Linked DNA regions of Xenopus tropicalis. The protein of the gene in region 1 purifies or fractionates together with the protein of each later gene. This does not show direct contact. Links are inferred from orthologs where the notes say so. Each region holds a gene or a part of one and is shown in the gene's direction. Other genes may lie near its edges.

The links.
Region 2: the proteins of mlxipl (region 1) and mlx purify together in Homo sapiens (affinity purification with western blotting; 3 studies listed by BioGRID and IntAct, counting the BioPlex papers as one, with this or other methods). This does not show direct contact. The link is inferred for Xenopus tropicalis from reciprocal best matches to the Homo sapiens genes MLXIPL and MLX.

What each region holds. Positions count from the first base shown.
Region 1 is NC_030678.2:41,634,686-41,643,789, forward strand, and holds the start of mlxipl (carbohydrate-responsive element-binding protein), read left to right. Parts: upstream 1-3,410; 5' UTR 3,411-3,511; coding exon 3,512-3,750; intron 3,751-9,104. UniProt on the Homo sapiens protein: Binds DNA as a heterodimer with MLX/TCFL4 and activates transcription. Binds to the canonical E box sequence 5'-CACGTG-3'. Plays a role in transcriptional activation of glycolytic target genes. Involved in glucose-responsive gene regulation.
Region 2 is NC_030686.2:6,141,771-6,150,651, reverse strand, and holds the start of mlx (max-like protein X), read left to right. Parts: upstream 1-3,371; 5' UTR 3,372-3,647; exon of another isoform or gene 3,648-3,685; intron 3,686-3,969; 5' UTR 3,970-4,002; intron 4,003-5,876; 5' UTR 5,877-5,884; coding exon 5,885-5,960; intron 5,961-7,543; coding exon 7,544-7,689; intron 7,690-8,608; coding exon 8,609-8,708; intron 8,709-8,881. UniProt on the Homo sapiens protein: Transcription regulator. Forms a sequence-specific DNA-binding protein complex with MAD1, MAD4, MNT, WBSCR14 and MLXIP which recognizes the core sequence 5'-CACGTG-3'. The TCFL4-MAD1, TCFL4-MAD4, TCFL4-WBSCR14 complexes are transcriptional repressors.

The sequences.
Region 1 (9,104 bases):
TTGTTTTTTTCGTAAGAAAGCAAAAACCCTAAATAAAATGGTAGCTTCTTCAAACATTTTCCCAAAATTCAGGCCAGCACGGTTATATGGACACTTGACAGGAACATACAAGTGCCACAGCAATAGATGTTGCACTTGTAGATATGTGGTTTCTAGGTATGATATCCCAATATCCAAGTGGTTTATGAAGTGTAAGACCATTTATAGGGTTTATCTACTGATTTGTCCATGTGGATTAAAATATGTGGGATGTACCAAACGTTCTCTGGGCACTTAAATTAGTAAACATGTTCGTATTATCAAGAAATGCTTTTGGAAGCATGGTGTTTCTTTGCATTTTCTAGAAAAACATTCCTCTAACGCAGATGTGTTTTAAGTTATAGGCTTAGAACACATTTCCAATTCCAGTAGAGGTGGTGATAGATTTTTGGAATTACACCAACAAGAAACGTTTTGGATTTATAGGCTAAATACTCTTGACCTGCTAGGTCTTAATAAAGGTTTGAATTTAGCTGCTGTTAATTTTATAGTATGTATTAGCATTGTACTGTAGTGATTATGGGTTGCTATGAGGACCCCTTAGCAACCGCTAATTTTTAAATGATGCTGGGTACACTGATGCTCCTATCCCTTATGAAAGATGGTGAGAGTGTCTCTAAATCTGGATTGATATTTGTAAAGTACTACACTATGCTACTTTGGATGTGCTCTGTTTTTTCCTTTTCCTAATAGTAATATGGTGTATTGATTTGGAGAAACCAAAGATGTTGTTGTCCTGGGCAACTAATAAAACAGTACATACCTCCCAACATTTGAAAAATGAAAAGAGGGACAAAAAGACTTGCCACAAAGTGGGCGTGGCCAAAAAAAAAAATTTTTTTTTTGGACACGCCCACTTTGTGGCCACGCTCCAATTGCCACACCCCATTATTAAAATAGTGCCCACGATGGCCCAATAGGCAGCACCCCATAGAAAGTACCCTCCATACACAATACCCCCATAGAAAGTTCCCCCATACACAGTGCCCCCATACACAGTAGCCCTCCTTACACAGTAGCCCTCCTTACACAGTGCCCCCATACACAGTGCCCCCCATACACAGTGCCCCCATACACAGTAGCCCTCCTTACACAGTGCCCCCCCATACAGTGCCCCCAATACACAGTAGCCCTCCTTACACAGTGTCCCCCCATACAGTTCCCCCCATACACAGTGCCCCCCCATACACAGTGCCCCCATACACAGTAGCCCTCCTTACACAGTGCCCCCCCATACACAGTAGCCCTTCATACACAGTTCCCCCCATACACAGTGCCCCCCCCATACACAGTAGCCCTCCTTACACAGTGTCCCCCCATACACAGTGCCCCCCATACACAGTAGCCCTCCTTACACAGAGCCCCCAATACACAGAGCCCCCCCATACACAGTGCCCCCCCAACTGCCCCCATAGTGATTACCTCATACATAGCAGCCCCCATAGACTTCTTGGGCTCCTGCTCCTTACTCGGCTCCTCGTAAGGCGGCGACAGGTCCTTTTATAAGGTTGCGCCCGTGCGCAACCTTATAAAAGGACCTGTCGCCGCCGTACGAGGAGCCGAATAAGGAGCGGGAGCCCAAGAAGAAGGAGCCGGAGCGATCCGCTGGCCTGGATAGTTTAATGAATGTTCTGCATTTCCGTAATGCGGGACATTCATTGAACAATCCGGGACAGCGGGACGCGCTGTAAAAACCGGGACTGTCCCGCGAAAAGCGGGACAGTTGGGGGGTATGACAGTAGCTTGTACCTGATCCCAACTAAGATATATGTAATACATTGGAAGCAAAATAATCATATTTGGTTGAATTAATGTTTCAATTCTTTGTAGACTTAACAGGGATCCCCAACTTTTTTTTACCCATGAGCCACATTCAAAAATAAAAAAAAGTTGGAGAGCAACACAAGCATGCAAAAAGTTACTGGGGGTGTCCAATATGTGCCGTGATTGGCTATTTGGTAGCCCCTATGTGGACTGTCAGCCTACAGGAGGCCCTGTTTGACAGTACACCTGGTTTTTATGCAACCAAAACTTGCCTCCAAGCCAATTATTTAAAAATAAGCACCTGCTTTGAGGCTACTGGGAGAAACATCCAATGGCTTGGTGAGCAAGATGCTGCTCATGAGCCACTGGTTGGGATCACTGACTTAAGGTATGGAGCCAAATTAAGGAAAGACCCCTTATCCAGAAAACCCCAGGTCCCAAGCATTATGGGTGCACCCTAACATTTTGATGCCCCTCGGTAAAGAGGGTTTTCCTTGCTTTTTAATTCCTTGCTATAGTATACATTCCTATGTTATATTGGAGCCAGGTATGGACTGAGATCTGATTGCTTGCCTTGGCAGGTGTTTTACTGGCCAGGCTGGTAAAATGCCGACCAGCTGGCAACCCTAGGGACTGCTGTAAGATACCACAGACAGTAATAAAATATTGGGCTGGTGGGGCCTGTTCGGACCTCTTTATGCTTGAAATGCCAGGGCCTATTTGGAATTTCAATCTATACCTGGCTCAGTAAATATAATCCCTGGTGAATAACACCCCAGACGGTGCATATGTTAGGGCTTTCATTGTCATTCAGGCATATTTTTTTCATAATTGCCTTAATTATTACAGCTAAGCTAAATAAATTAATATTTGTTCAATAGTTTATTTTATAGTCCTTCTCCTGCTATCTGCATTGGTTTCCTGGCTCAATGAAGCACCCCCTCCCCCTTTGCTGGGCAGGCTAAAATTTACACTGGGAGGGAGGACAGGGCAGAGCAGCATGGGCAGGAACAGAGCAAACTTCTCAGGCAGCAAAGTGCTGTAGAACAACCCAGGGGCCGATTATTACCCCTGTACCCCCCCCCCCTCATTGGTGCTTTAAACCTGCAGCCCCCCTCACATACAATTATTAGTTAAGAGACTTGCTTAGCATAAGTGCAACAGGCTGGGTAGGGAATATTTACAAAGAGATATGTTTAGAGAGGATTTGCTGTGATTCCACTACAACATTATGAGAAGGCAAGCGTTACATGGAAACATAGAGAGGGGTTGGCAATGTATGGCATGACATCCAGCTAAAGTAAGGAGAGTGCAAAGTTCAAAGCACAATCTGTGCTGCCACATCCCATGGAACCAACCAGTGATGAATCACAAGGCGGCAAGGAGGATTCTGGGATAACACCTTACATTGGAATTACATAACCTGAGAGAAGGTTTCCGAGGTGCTGCAGCCAAAACCAAGTACACAACCTGCTACCCCGTACTTACATTGCAGCTGTCATTGGTCACTTCTGGGAGATGGGTGGGACTCTCGGGCTGTCAGCCTGCAGGTTTAGAACAGTGTCTAATGGGGCGTGGTTATGCTGATCTATGGCAGGCGATTGGAGGTTTTCTGGTTGGATGGGCCTTTCACCTATGGTGGGTGGGCGTGTCTGTGACTGCTCTTCTGTCACTTGCGCTTCGGTGTACGTTGGGATTATCCCACACCATGGCAGGCTGCGGCACGAATCAACTCCGGAGTTCTAATGCAGACTCTGATTCGGACTCAGACTGTGAGGGACTGGGGCCCCGGCATCAGATCATTCATAGCGGGCACTTCATGGTATCGTCCCCACATGGAGATGACAAGCACAGGAGAAGTGAACTGCAGCGGCCAGGGAACCTGCCAGCCGGGACCATTGATCCCACACTGACTCGGCTGTTCGAGTGTATGAGTCTGGCATACAGGTAGGTACAAGGGCTACACACATTTGGCTTGTATGGCTACATACCAGCTGCAATGCCATTAAACATAGGGGTATTAGGGGCTAAACTACCCTAAATAAAATGTTATGCTGAGCAAGTCTCTAACTGATAATTGTTTGTAGGGGAGCTTGCAAGTTTATAGCGTCAACGTGTTCTGTGCGAAGTGCATGGCGGGAAGAAGGGGGTGACAAGGGGGCAAAAGTCAATAATCCTGCCCCTGTGTAGTTGTACCCCACCTTGCTGGCTGAGGAGTTAAATATTCCTCCGCTCCTGCTTCTATTCTGCTGCTCTCCTTCCCAGTGTAACTGTAGCAGCCCAGCAGGGGAGGGGCTAGTGATAGCTGGATTCTCTGAGCCAGGAAACCGTGTGTGTAGCTTTATCATGCACATACCACATATTCGTAAACTCTTTGCTTTTGTTTGCATCCTTATATGATAGCTGATCGGAAAAGTGCAACCTTTATGCATGAATCTTGGATTTATATAAATAGCTAAGTAATACAGAGCTCATAAACTAGGAGAACAGTGGAGCTGCAGAGGGATACATTTGTCAGGGCAGAGACAGTGGATCTTTTTTGGAGCTGCATGGGTTAATTTTGTTTGGGGTGATAGTAAATAGGAGTTTGGGGTGCCAGAAATCTGAACCCTACTGGGACGTGTTGAACTGGGGGGGATTATTGTTGGGGTCTAGTAAAGATTTGGAATTAAAAAGAACAAAGCTGGTTTGATTGTAAGGTACAAAAAGATAACTCACCTTCAAGGGATCAGTGGGCTTCCAGCTAAGTATCAGCAAGGAATGGTTCCTTTGCTGCTACTCCAGCTGTTCTTGTACTACAGTTCCCATTGTCCAATGAGTGCAGAAGGCTTTATATCAATAAGTAATTGTAAAATTAATATTTTTTATTCCTAGTGGTCAGTTATTTCCAGGCTGTGCCCCCATGGTGCAGAAACTAAGGTGCACAAGTGGGCTTCCCATAGTCTTTACCTAGCAATTATGTGCGCCCAGTGGAATTATGTACTCTGCTTCTGGCGCCAGATCAAAAATCCAATGTGAGGAGCAGAGCACAGCTTTAGAAGGCACAGGCGCAACTTAGGAAGAGGCAGGCGACGCAGGTCACACACAATGGTGCAATATGCTTTTATTCAAGGGAGCAAGTGCTAGAGCACAAAGGGTCCCATGAGTTTCTGGGGCAATACTTAGTCATGGAATGTTGGTTTCATTGTGTCATGAAATTCTGGGGCCAATTTGCTGAAGTCACTAGTAAGGTTCATTTATCAATACTTGGCAGATTTGCCCATGGGCAGTAGCCCATAGCAACCAGTGATTGGCCTTTTTCAGCCAGCTGCAGGAAGAACAATGTATGCAAAAATTTGATTGGCTGCTGTGAGTTACTGTCCACAGGCTAATTTGCCCAGCGTTGATAAATGAGCCTCACTGTGTCATCATATGCTAAGCCAACTGTGCCATGAAGTACTGGGGACAAAGTCTCAAAAAGTGCTTTAGCCCATGTATCAAAAATTCTGGGGCCACACCAATTGCTATGGCTACACCATAATGAAATACTTCAGGCACTCCCATGACTTGCTTGGGCCACTATTATTAAAATGCTGGGCCATATTCTCCAGTTTTTCAATAAAAATGTTTTTGTTTTTTTAAGTTGGTGTAATAATGGATGTGTAGATGTAGATGAGCGTCATACCCCTTTAATAAATTAGGACATTTAATAAGGATATATTTTACAGTTTAGTCAAGGCCCATGTGATTTGCAAACTTATATGTGTCTATGGCATTTATGGGGATTATCGCTGTGTTTTTTAACAGGAACTGAGTTAGGAGAATTAATTAAATCTCACTCATAATTTGAGTGATAAACCATAAAATAACTCCTTTTCATGATACTGAATCTGGCCCAACATCTATTGAGCAATATCATGCAGACATCTTTTTAGTGGAAAGGTCCTCATACACGGGCAAATAAGCTGCCAAATTGGTCTGAAGAACCCAAATCGGCAGCTTAAATCTGCCCATGTATGGCCACCTTTCCACTATAAAGATGATTGCATGAAAATGCTCAATAAATTAAGGGCCAGATTCAGTTTTATTTGCAACCGTTATTTTAAAGTTTATCATGTGAAAAATTGAGTGATATTTAATTTAAAATTTTCTCCTAACTCAGTTCTATTTTTTTCCAAATAGACTTTAATAGAATTTTCATGAGATAAACCATGATAACGTTTTTCTCATTGAATTGCATTGGGCTCTATGGAAAAATCTGAAATTGAGTTTGGAGAAGGGTTTTTGTCATGACACTGAATCTGGCCCATTATTTGGGAAGTGGTTGGTGGCATCTGTAATTCTGGCCTTTCTGCCATTTTGTTTTACATCAGCTGCTAGCTCTGCACATCACCTGCTGCATTGCCAAAAACCATGTAATTAACGCTTTCTTTATAATATGGCTAGTTCTATGAATGCTGCACTAAGCATGTATGAAATGATGTATAAAAGCTCAAGGGCTAATGTTAGTTATAGCGCCAAAAAGAGTTATGCCTCTAGGTAAATTGGTAATCAAAAGACCAGAGGGAAGTTGTGGCAGTGTGAAAGCTAATGGAAAAGCTACTTTTATGGGACAGCTAATATAGCCACTCTCTTTTATGTTGGGACTAATGGAATAATAATGTGTGGCGCTGGATCAGTTAATGGACTAGTGATCAGCACATCTGTGGCATTAAACACTGGGCTGTTCTCTGTCTGTGTGTGGTTAAACACGGCCTCATGAACAAGCGCAGACTGCTGTTTCACAGTACATAAGTCTAGAAAACTAGATAACTAGAAAATGCCAACTGACTAGAAGAACGATTCTTAACTTTTCTAGGGTGGGTTTCCATGCTGATTAAATTGGTTTCCATGATCCCATTTAATAATGTGAAGTTTCTTCCTGAATTATATTTATATCCTGTCATTTATATAGTGACAATATATTCTGCAGCACTATACAGAGATTACTAATGATTCACATTAGTGCAATTTATGATCTAAGATCCCTATCACATTCAGCAAACACTATGGTCAATTTAATCAGTAGCCAGTAAATCTGCCTGTATGTTTTTGGGAGTGTACTGGAGTACAGTGGAAAAACCCATTTAGTTGTGGGGAGAACATACAGAGTCTTTGCAGATAGTGTCCAGGCCCATATCAAACTCTGTTCCCCAAGGCTGCAAGGCAGATTTGCTACCCACTGAGCCACAACAGAAAATAGTAATGAAATAAGGTGAATAATTTGTTTTTACCAATTTGGTTAATGAAGCCAACTTAGTTTGCATCTCTTAAAGAAAGGTTATATTTGATGCCACTACAAATATTTTGTAGGTGAGTTAATGTTTCACTCAGCAAAAGTTAAAATAAATACAAATTGATATTAATAAAGCAGATAGGTACAAAACACAAGTAAGGAAGCAATGTGGGTAGGGTTGGGATGTGGTTGGTTGGCAGTGTAAGCCTGAGGGTATGTACTTGCTAGAGGTGGCCCACCCAACCTGTCACATCAGGGTGGCAGAACAAAATGATTTGCAGTATGTACAGTATATAGGCGCACTATTGCAGTACCATACATCTTAACTTTTTCTTCAGAAAACCTAGATTAGGTCTGCAAGTGAGCAATGTTTTCTTAAGAACCTATGCCTGAAATTATGCTTGTAATAAGCAGGTAAACCTGAGAGTGATCACTGTTTCTGGTTGACAGCTGCCTTCATAAATCATGTCTTAAACAGATAGGGTGGAAATGTGCTAAAATTTGCTTTTATTCTATGGGTACAGAATTTTAAATAAGACATAAATCTCCCACACTCCTTTTGAAACCTCCTGCAGCGGGATGGGAAACTGTGGAATTTTTGTGGGAATCAGAACCTTCAACTGGTGATATCTGTACTGCACTACTTTGCTGTTAATCCTTCCTAATTCTCCCTGGCTACCATTCTATTGTTCCTTTCTAGCCCAATCGGAATAGTAAGAGTTGTTGCAGAAATTGAGAAGGAAATTGGCAGGATTATTGAACTGAAACACTTCCTTGACTGACCATACATGTCCAGATGGCCAGGCAGTATGGTCAAAATTGTGCAATGTGCCCAACCAATTCTGTGTATATATAAAAGTCAGCAGTGTATTAAGCATTATCAGTTTATCCTGTAAAAGGTTTTTGTCACCTTGACAAAGCTGAAAAAGTTGGGATTTGCTCTGGAGGTGTTTTATAGGGATATTTAACTTTTAGCTTGATGTAGACATCAGCATTTTAAGTTTAGAAGATCAGCTTTAAAAGGGAGATAAGCAACAAAATATAAGCATAACAGTAAAACTATTGATTGGTTGCAGGCTGGAAATAGGCTTAATAGGAAGGCTAATATTAAAAAAAAAACGTATAAAATAAATAATAAAGGTCAATCGAAATTGTTTTTAACAGGTCCATCTATAACTACAAGTTAATACAAAGGTGAACACTCCCTTTAAAGGGCATTGGGGTAAAGCACAAGAAAAACAGGCACTTTCACCTGTAAACAACACAGCTGGTTCATTATGACTTAATATAGAAATGTATATACCCTGTTGTTAGGCAATATACAGTAACATGATTTGAGTTTGAACATCTTTAGCATAGGTGTAGGTAAACTTAGTATACATTATAAATACACACACACACACACACACACACACACACACACACACACATATATACATTAAGGGCACAATTATGATTGTTCAAGCCTTTTGGAGTGCTATTCTGATACCTACTGGGAGCTGCTTTTTTTACTCCCTTCCCATTGTTCTGCTGATCGGCTGCTGGGGGGGGGGGGATATCACTCCAACTTGCAGCTCAGCAGTAAAGTGACTGAAGTTTATCAGAGCAGAGGTCACATGGTTGTGGCACCCTGGGAAATGAAGAATATGGCTAGCCCCATGTGAAATTTCAAAATTAAAAATAAAAAAATCTGTTGTGTTTTTGAAAAATGGATTTCAATGCAGGATTCTGTTGGAGAAGCTCTATTAACTGATGTGTTTTGGAAAAAAACATGTTTCCCCATGACAGTATTCCTTTAAGGAACTCATGCAAGGTTACCCCCAAGTGGGCATTCTTAAATAATAAAAAGTTCAGCACCTAAAAGCTGCTATAAGGCTTGACCAATCATAAATAAGCCTGTATATGTACAAAAAGCTATACATTAAGACAGGTGTCTTTTAAAGACGGTCATGGCATTACATTTTCTGTTACCTGTGGCCCTAATTTAACATGTGTGCCTTCAACCAGTGACATTTTAGTGTACTAACATGCTGAGTCCTTCATTGCA
Region 2 (8,881 bases), on another chromosome or scaffold:
GAGCCGGCGCTACACATTAGAACTGCTTTCAGCTAACCTATTGTTTCTCCTACTCCCATGTAACTGGAGGAGTCCCAAGCCGGACTTGGATTTCTTACTATTGAGTGCTATTCTGATACCTACTGGGAGCTGCCATCTTGCTCCCTTCCCATTGTTCCCATATATACAGATAATGGGTGCAGAGGATCTCCCGTTGGTATCTATATGCACCAGTGCTTAATCAGGATATTTCTGACGGACGCACAATTTTCTTCAATGTTTACACAACTGACTTGTGTTCATAAAGAAGCCCTACAATCACCTTGGTATCAATAGAAACTTCCGGTAAGATCCCGTGTATGATCCCATTGATGGGGAAGCAGAGGAAAGCAGCAGATTAGCAGCCCTATCCCAGGCAGAAGCTGCGAGTTCATTAGCGCCGGGCGTCATGGAAAACCACTTCGTTATACAAACACTCGTTATCAGTACCCGCCTCCCAGCCGTTATGTTTGTTCATAAAACCCATACGGTTCACTTACTACACAGGGTAATGCTGTATCCCCTGTACATCTATCATGGGAGAAATGACTAGAAATTCTCTGTGTAGGATGAAACTGATCCACTGCCATTCTATACCAAATTATAACATGCATAATAATCTTATAAACTGCAAATAAGGCAAAATAAAGACCAATTGCAAATTGTCTCAGAATAGACAACCCCTTCAACATCAACACCATCTGCTCCACCTCTGCTAGCCATACCAGCCGTTAGCAACCAGCCACACTTCCCACCCAGACACCACAAAGTAGCCGCAACATGTACCTTAGTGGGTTTGTACTTGGGAACCTGCCACAGCTTTACATTATAAGCCTAAATTGACACCATCTTGCCTTGCTATACACAATGTCCCACCCCTGACACCATCTTGCCTTGCTATACACAATGTCCCACCCCTGACACCATCTTGCCTTGCTATACACACAGTCCCACCCCTGACACCATCTTGCCTTGCTATACACACAGTCCCACCCCTGACCCCATCTTGCCTTGCTATACACACAATGTCCCACCCCTGACACCATCTTGCCTTGCTATACACACAATGTCCCACCCCTGACCCCATCTTGCCTTGCTATACACACAATGTCCCACCCCTGACACCATATTGCCTTGCTATACACACAATGTCCCACCCCTGACACCATCTTGCCTTGCTATACACACAATGTCCCACCCCTGACCCCATCTTGCCTTGCTATACACACAGTCCCACCCCTGACACCATCTTGCCTTGCTATACACACAATGTCCCACCCCTGACCCCATCTTGCCTTGCTATACACACAATGTCCCACCCCTGACCCCATCTTGCCTTGCTATACACACAATGTCCCACCCCTGACCCCATCTTGCCTTGCTATACACACAATGTCCCACCCCTGACACCATCTTGCCTTGCTATACACAGTCCCACCCCTGACACCATCTTGCCTTGCTATACACACAATGTCCCACCCCTGACACCATCTTGCCTTGCTATACACACAATGTCCCACCCCTGACCCCATCTTGCCTTGCTATACACACAATGTCCCACCCCTGACACCATCTTGCCTTGCTATACACACAATGTCCCACCCCTGACACCATCTTGCCTTGCTATACACACAATGTCCCACCCCTGACCCCATCTTGCCTTGCTATACACACAATGTCCCACCCCTGACACCATCTTGCCTTGCTATACACACAATGTCCCACCCTGACACCATCTTGCCTTGCTATACACACAATGTCCCACCCCTGACCCCATCTTGCCTTGCTATACACACAATGTCCCACCCCTGACACCATCTTGCCTTGCTATACACAGTCCCACCCCTGACACCATCTTGCCTTGCTATACACAATGTCCCACCCCTGACACCATCTTGCCTTGCTATACACACAATGTCCCACCCCTGACACCATCTTGCCTTGCTATACACACAATGTCCCACCCCTGACCCCATCTTGCCTTGCTATACACAATGTCCCACCCCTGACACCATCTTGCCTTGCTATACACACAATGTCCCACCCCTGACCCCATCTTGCCTTGCTATACACACAGTCCCACCCCTGACACCATCTTGCCTTGCTATACACACAATGTCCCACCCCTGACCCCCATCTTGCCTTGCTATAACACACAATGTCCCACCCCTGACCCCATCTTGCCTTGCTATACACACAATGTCCCACCCCTGACACCATCTTGCCTTGCTATACACAGTCCCACCCCTGACACCATCTTGCCTTGCTATACACACAATGTCCCACCCCTGACACCATCTTGCCTTGCTATACACACAATGTCCCACCCCTGACACCATCTTGCCTTGCTATACACACAGTCCCACCCCTGACCCCATCTTGCCTTGCTATACACACAATGTTCCACCCCTGACCCCATCTTGCCTTGCTATACACACAGTCCCACCCCTGACCCCATCTTGCCTTGCTATACACACAATGTTCCACCCCTGACCCCATCTTGCCTTGCTATACACACAGTCCCACCCCTGACACCATCTTGCCTTGCTATACACAATGTCCCACCCCTGACCCCATCTTGCCTTGCTATACACACAGTCCCACCCCTGACCCCATCTTGCCTTGCTATACACACAATTATAGTGCACTCCCTGTAAATAAGTATAGGAGGACCCAATGTTGTGCCCTGACTATTGCTCTGCGGGGCCCCCGGGGCCTGTAAAGGGTCCCCCCTTTCTAGCCATCTCATTCTACCAACAGGGTAACAAACTGCCTATCAGCTCAAAGCTTCTGGGGGTGCCGGGAGTTGTAATTCAATGAGCAAAGAGACGTAGGTAAAACATCCCTGAATGTAATGAAGTTCAATGCCAGAGGTGCAACCTACTCCCCTCCATTTATGGGATTCTGGAAGTTATAGTTCAGGCAGCCCCCCACACACAGGCAGGATTTTAGGTATTTAAAGGGTAAGTTAACCCCTCCTCAGCCAACCAAACTGCATCAGCCAGGCAGGGAGCTGGGATATGACAACCTCCCACCAAATCTCCTCTATATACAGGGATACCTGCCTCCCATGGCCCATCTACCTCCCTCTACACTCAGCACCTTAGAGCCCCCCAAACAACTCAGTAGCATCCTAAAGAGGAGATAGAGCTCAGTCTGAGGGGCTGCTCATTGACTCCCGAACCACCCTATTCCATTGCATGCTGGGTAATGTAGTTTATTCAAAGCGTAGTATCAGGCGACAGCTAAAACAAGAACTACATTACCCAGTATGCACTGGGGTTATTTACCAGGAAAAGGGAAGAGGCGGGGCAGGTAGGGCTGAGAAAGTTTTGCTGTGCGTGTAGTTTCAGGATATTATTAGTATTTTATTCGTTGGACTTTAACAACCCACCTAGTATGAAAACGAACAATATATGACTGGAAATGTACTATTTTGGCAGCCCTGGGATCCTCGGTAGTCGCACGTCACACTCTCGCGAGATTTGGAGGAAATTCTGGGGGAGCTGTCGGGAAGCAGCTGAGGGGCTGAGGGGCTGCGCTATAGGAAGGGGTTGTGGGGCGTTTAATCAGCGCTCCGGGACGACGATATCAGCAGCTCCGGGCGGGACGGCTGTCGGTTCTGTTGTGTGAGTTACCGACTGGAAGCGGAGCTCAATGTAAATAGGTCCGTGTGCGGGAACCTTCCATTTGGGGAAGTGCTGCCAAACTGACAGGGGAAAGCAGCTTGTAATGTAATCCCATCAGCATTGTACGGATAGGAGAGGGTTAATACGTTAAAGGGGAACTCCCCCTCCCAAATATTACTTTATACCCCCTGGTCTAATATCCATAGAATTCAATTCCCAGGCATTTATAGTGTGATCCCTTAATGCTTACAGCAAACATGTCTTATGCTCTAATAGCCTGTTTGTAACCCTTTGTATTCATCCTTCTCACTCTTCCTTCTAGCCTGATGTTCCCTATGTGATAATGTGAGGCCGGGTAAGTCTTTCATATACTTAATAACTGTCTTTTATTGGTTTTTATTTTATAATAAATGCTTACAGTTGTATCAAGGCTTGGATCCATTATCTGGAAACCCGATATCCAGAACGCTCCAAATTATGGAAAGCCTGTCTCCCATAGACTCTAAGATATAACTTAGATATAACTAAGATATAATTACCCCTTATTGGGGGCAGAACAGCCCTATTGGGTTTATTTCATGGTTAAATGATTCCCTTTTCTCTGTAATAATAAAACAGTACCTGTACTTGATCCCAACTAAGATATAATTACCCCTTATTGGGGGCAGAACAGCCCTATTGGGTTTATTTCATGGTTAAATGATTCCCTTTTCTCTGTAATAATAAAACAGTACCTGTACTTGATCCCAACTAAGATATAATTACCCCTTATTGGGGCAGAACAGCCCTATTGGGTTTATTTCATGGTTAAATGATTCCCTTTTCTCTGTAATAATAAAACAGTACCTGTACTTGATCCCAACTAAGATATAATTACCCCTTATTGGGGCAGAACAGCCCTATTGGGTTTATTTCATGGTTAAATGATTCCCTTTTCTCTGTAATAATAAAACAGTACCTGTACTTGATCCCAACTAAGATATAATTACCCCTTATTGGGGCAGAACAGCCCTATTGGGTTTATTTAATGGTTAAATGATTCCCTTTTCTCTGTAATAATAAAACAGTACCTGTACTTGATCCCAACTAAGATATAATTACCCCTTATTGGGGCAGAACAGCCCTATTGGGTTTATTTCATGGTTAAATGATTCCCTTTTCTCTGTAATAATAAAACAGTACCTGTACTTGATCCCAACTAAAATATAATTACCCCTTATTGGTATGAAGATCCAAATTATGGAAAGACCTCTTATCTGGAATACCCTTGGTCTCAAGCATTCTGGATAACCTGTATACCTGTAACTGTAAATATCAGGGAGACATTGCTTTTACCTGATCTGCATCATTATATTTATAAAACTCAGGTAAATTATATTAACTGTGTATATTATCTCCAAAATCAAACTGTTTAAACCCCAGGAAAGCGTAATGTGGTGGCTTTGGACTATGGTTTTGAAATACGGCTTTAAAGGGGAAGTTCACCTTTATGTTCACTTTTAGTATGTTAAATAATATTCTAAGCAACTTTTCATTTGGTCTTCATTATTTATTTGTTATAGTTTTTACAGCTTTCAAATTGGGGGTCACTGACCCCGGCAGCCAGAAAACTATTGCTCTGTGAGGCTCCAGTTTTATTATTATTGTTACTTTCATGACTTATTTTTCTAGGCCCCTCTCCTATTCATATACCTGTCCATCTTTCAAACCACTCCCTAAGGTAATTTGGACCCGAGCAACCGGATAGCTGCTGCAACTCCAAACTGGAGAGCTGCTGAACCAAAAGTGAAATAAAATAAATAAATAAAAGAAACAGGGGGGCCCATTTATAAACACTGGGCAAATTTGCTCCTAGCAACTGGTTAGTTACCCACAAACACACCTTCCTGTCTTTAAATCAGTCATCCCAGTGCTTGGTATAGAGGGTTAGCGCCCTCCTCTGTCTGAAAGCAGTAAATCTATCGGCACAACAAGAGCAATTCCAAGAGAGGCAGACCTGTTTTAAAACAACATTATTGGTTACCATGGGTTACTGCCCCTGGGCAAAGTAAGTGCTTTTTAGTACACGCGGGTGGGGTAATGTTTAATTTGGAAGTAGAAAGCGGCCTAATAAATGCATGACGTTTGGGCAATAATCCAATCTGTTGATACTGTAAGAACTGGATCACAACAGACTTGGCATGGGTGCATTCATATTAATTTAGTATATATGATTTTATCTTTTTGCAGTTCCTGTCATGGAGCAGAAGGGAAGTTTAGTGTCCAGAGCAAACAGCATTGGATCCACAAGTGCATCTTCAGTGCCCAATACAGGTAAATCCTAAAACTGTTTGCACATGATTAACCTCACCTTCCACCCATTGAGGGTTGCTCTATTTTATGTTTTTATTCAAGTACATTTCAGGCTTTAAGATTAAATATAAATTCTAAACTGTGAAAAATATTTTCCAAAAGTAGTACAGGTATGGACCATGTTACCAACAATGCCCTGGACCTGGGGTTTTGCAGATAAGGGGTCTTCCCGTAATTTGGATCTCCATACCTTACGTGTACTAAGAAATCATTTAAACATGAAATAAACCCAATAGGGCTGTTCTGCCCCCAATAAGGGGAAATTATATCTTAGTTGGGATCAAGTACAGGTACTGTTTTATTATTACAGAGAAAAGGGAATCATTTAACCATGAAATAAACCCAATAGGGCTGTTCTGCCCCCAATAAGGGGTAATTATATCTTAGTTGGGATCAAGTACAGGTACTGTTTTATTATTACAGAGAAAAGGGAATCATTTAACCATGAAATAAACCCAATAGGGCTGTTCTGCCCCCAATAAGGGGTAATTATATCTTAGTTGGGATCAAGTACAGGTACTGTTTTATTATTACAGAGAAAAGGGAATCATTTAACCATTAAATAAACCCAATAGGGCTGTTCTGCCCCAATAAGGGGTAATTATATCTTAGTTGGGATCAAGTACAGGTACTGTTTTATTATTACAGAGAAAAGGGAATCATTTAAACATGAAATAAACCCAATAGGGCTGTTCTGCCCCCAATAAGGGGAAATTATATCTTAGTTGGGATCAAGTACAGGTACTGTTTTATTATTACAGAGAAAAGGGAATCATTTAACCATGAAATAAACCCAATAGGGCTGTTCTGCCCCAATAAGGGGTAATTATATCTTAGTCGGGATCAAGTACAGGTACTGTTTTATTATTACAGAGAAAAGGGAATCATTTAACCATGAAATAAACCCAATAGGGCTGTTCTGCCCCCAATAAGGGGTAATTATATCTTAGTCGGGATCAAGTACAGGTACTGTTTTATTATTACAGAGAAAAGGGAATCATTTAACCATGAAATAAACCCAATAGGGCTGTTCTGCCCCAATAAGGGGTAATTATATCTTAGTTGGGATCAAGTACAGGTACTGTTTTATTATTACAGAGAAAAGGGAATCATTTAACCATGAAATAAACCCAATAGGGCTGTTCTGCCCCCAATAAGGGGTAATTATATCTTAATTGGGATCAAGTACAGGTACTGTTTTATTATTACAGAGAAAAGGGAATCATTTAACCATTAAATAAACCCAATAGGACTGTTCTACCCCCAATAAGGAGGAATTATATTTTAGGCTGGGGGTAAATTCCCTGTCAATCTGCTCTGCTCCAAATTTCGATACCACTCATGAGAAGGAAATTATGTTTGAACGCAAACTGTGAAATAGCAATTGCAGCAATTTCTGGGCAGAAATCAATAACTTCTTAGCTGATAACTATTAGTTTAATTTGGCACTGTGCAGCACTCTCTCTTTATATGGTAAAGGACAGATGGTTGGTTTGGCTTATCATGGTGTTAAATAGCATCTATGTGCCTCACCGTTTCTGTAGCCTGCAACATGATGGACAATGCTTGTTCCCTAACCTCAGATGACGAGGACAGTGATGACCGCCAAGAGACCATAAAAAATGACTACAAGGACCGACGCAGACGGGCACACACCCAGGCTGAGCAGAAGAGAAGAGATGCCATCAAAGTAAGAATTGAAGGCTACATATTGGGGAAATAATCTGAAGACTGAGGGCTGTCTGCAAAGAATTCACTGTAGATATAACATAATGGTGGCCGGGGGGGCAGCCCCCATATCTACAGTGACTATGGGGCTTGGTGTGACCCCTTGTATCTGCAATGTATTTGCTGTAAACAGCCCATAGTGTAGTGGGCTTGATTATTAGATACTGTATCTATAAGGGTAAGGTTATATTGCAACGGCATCATACATAGGGTCCTGCTTGACCAGGATGGGGTGGGGGTATCAGAGACCGTTAAGAATAAAAGCTTTAGGGGTCATCATAAATTATCAATCAGAAAATAAGGTTGGCCTGTCATATAAGCTGATGCTACAGGGCCAATTAATCTGCTGCTAATTGCACTGGTTTCAGAGCTGCCATATAGCAATGATCTGTATTAATTACTAGTCAGCCTTATATTGTGACATTTATATTGTATATATACTGTATATTGTGAGTGGGTCCCTAAACTCAGGTAAGTGACAGCAGCACATAGTATGTGCTGGGAATCAGCAGAAATGAAGATGGGGGGCTACTGGGGCATCTTGGGGGGCACAGATCTTCCCTGCTAAAGGGCTGTGGGTGCCTTGGGCTGGTACAGAAACCCAAAATATCATGTACATTTACATACACCTAGTATGAATAGGTCCTTTTTTTTTCCTATATGGATTTATAATAGAATAGCATAGAGAGGTGTCGGCACTCATAGGATTTCCACGATCATATTGAAGAGAATACTCATGGGTAAATGCAAACGGTGAGGTTTATTTAGTCCTACGTTTCGGTTCCCTACTGGAACCTTCGTCAGGGAAGATTTATAATAGAATGTAAAGGGCTCTTCCTGGGTTTCTCACCACAATAATGGCTTCTGCCTGTATCTTGCAGAAAGGCTACGACGACTTGCAGTGCATCGTGCCCACCTGTCAGCAGCAAGACATCGCTATAGGAACACAAAAACTCAGCAAGGCTGTTGTTCTGCAGAAGAGTAAGTATTCTGCCCCCACAGTACCCCCCCCACACACATCAATGACAATTGCAACTGCCTTGTATTGATAGCTGTATGGTTATGCGCCATGTAAGGGCCACTTCTGGGTATGGTGTGGGGAGCAGTTATCAGCTGAAATGCTGCTTCGTTGGGATATAGCTGCATTTAGGGTA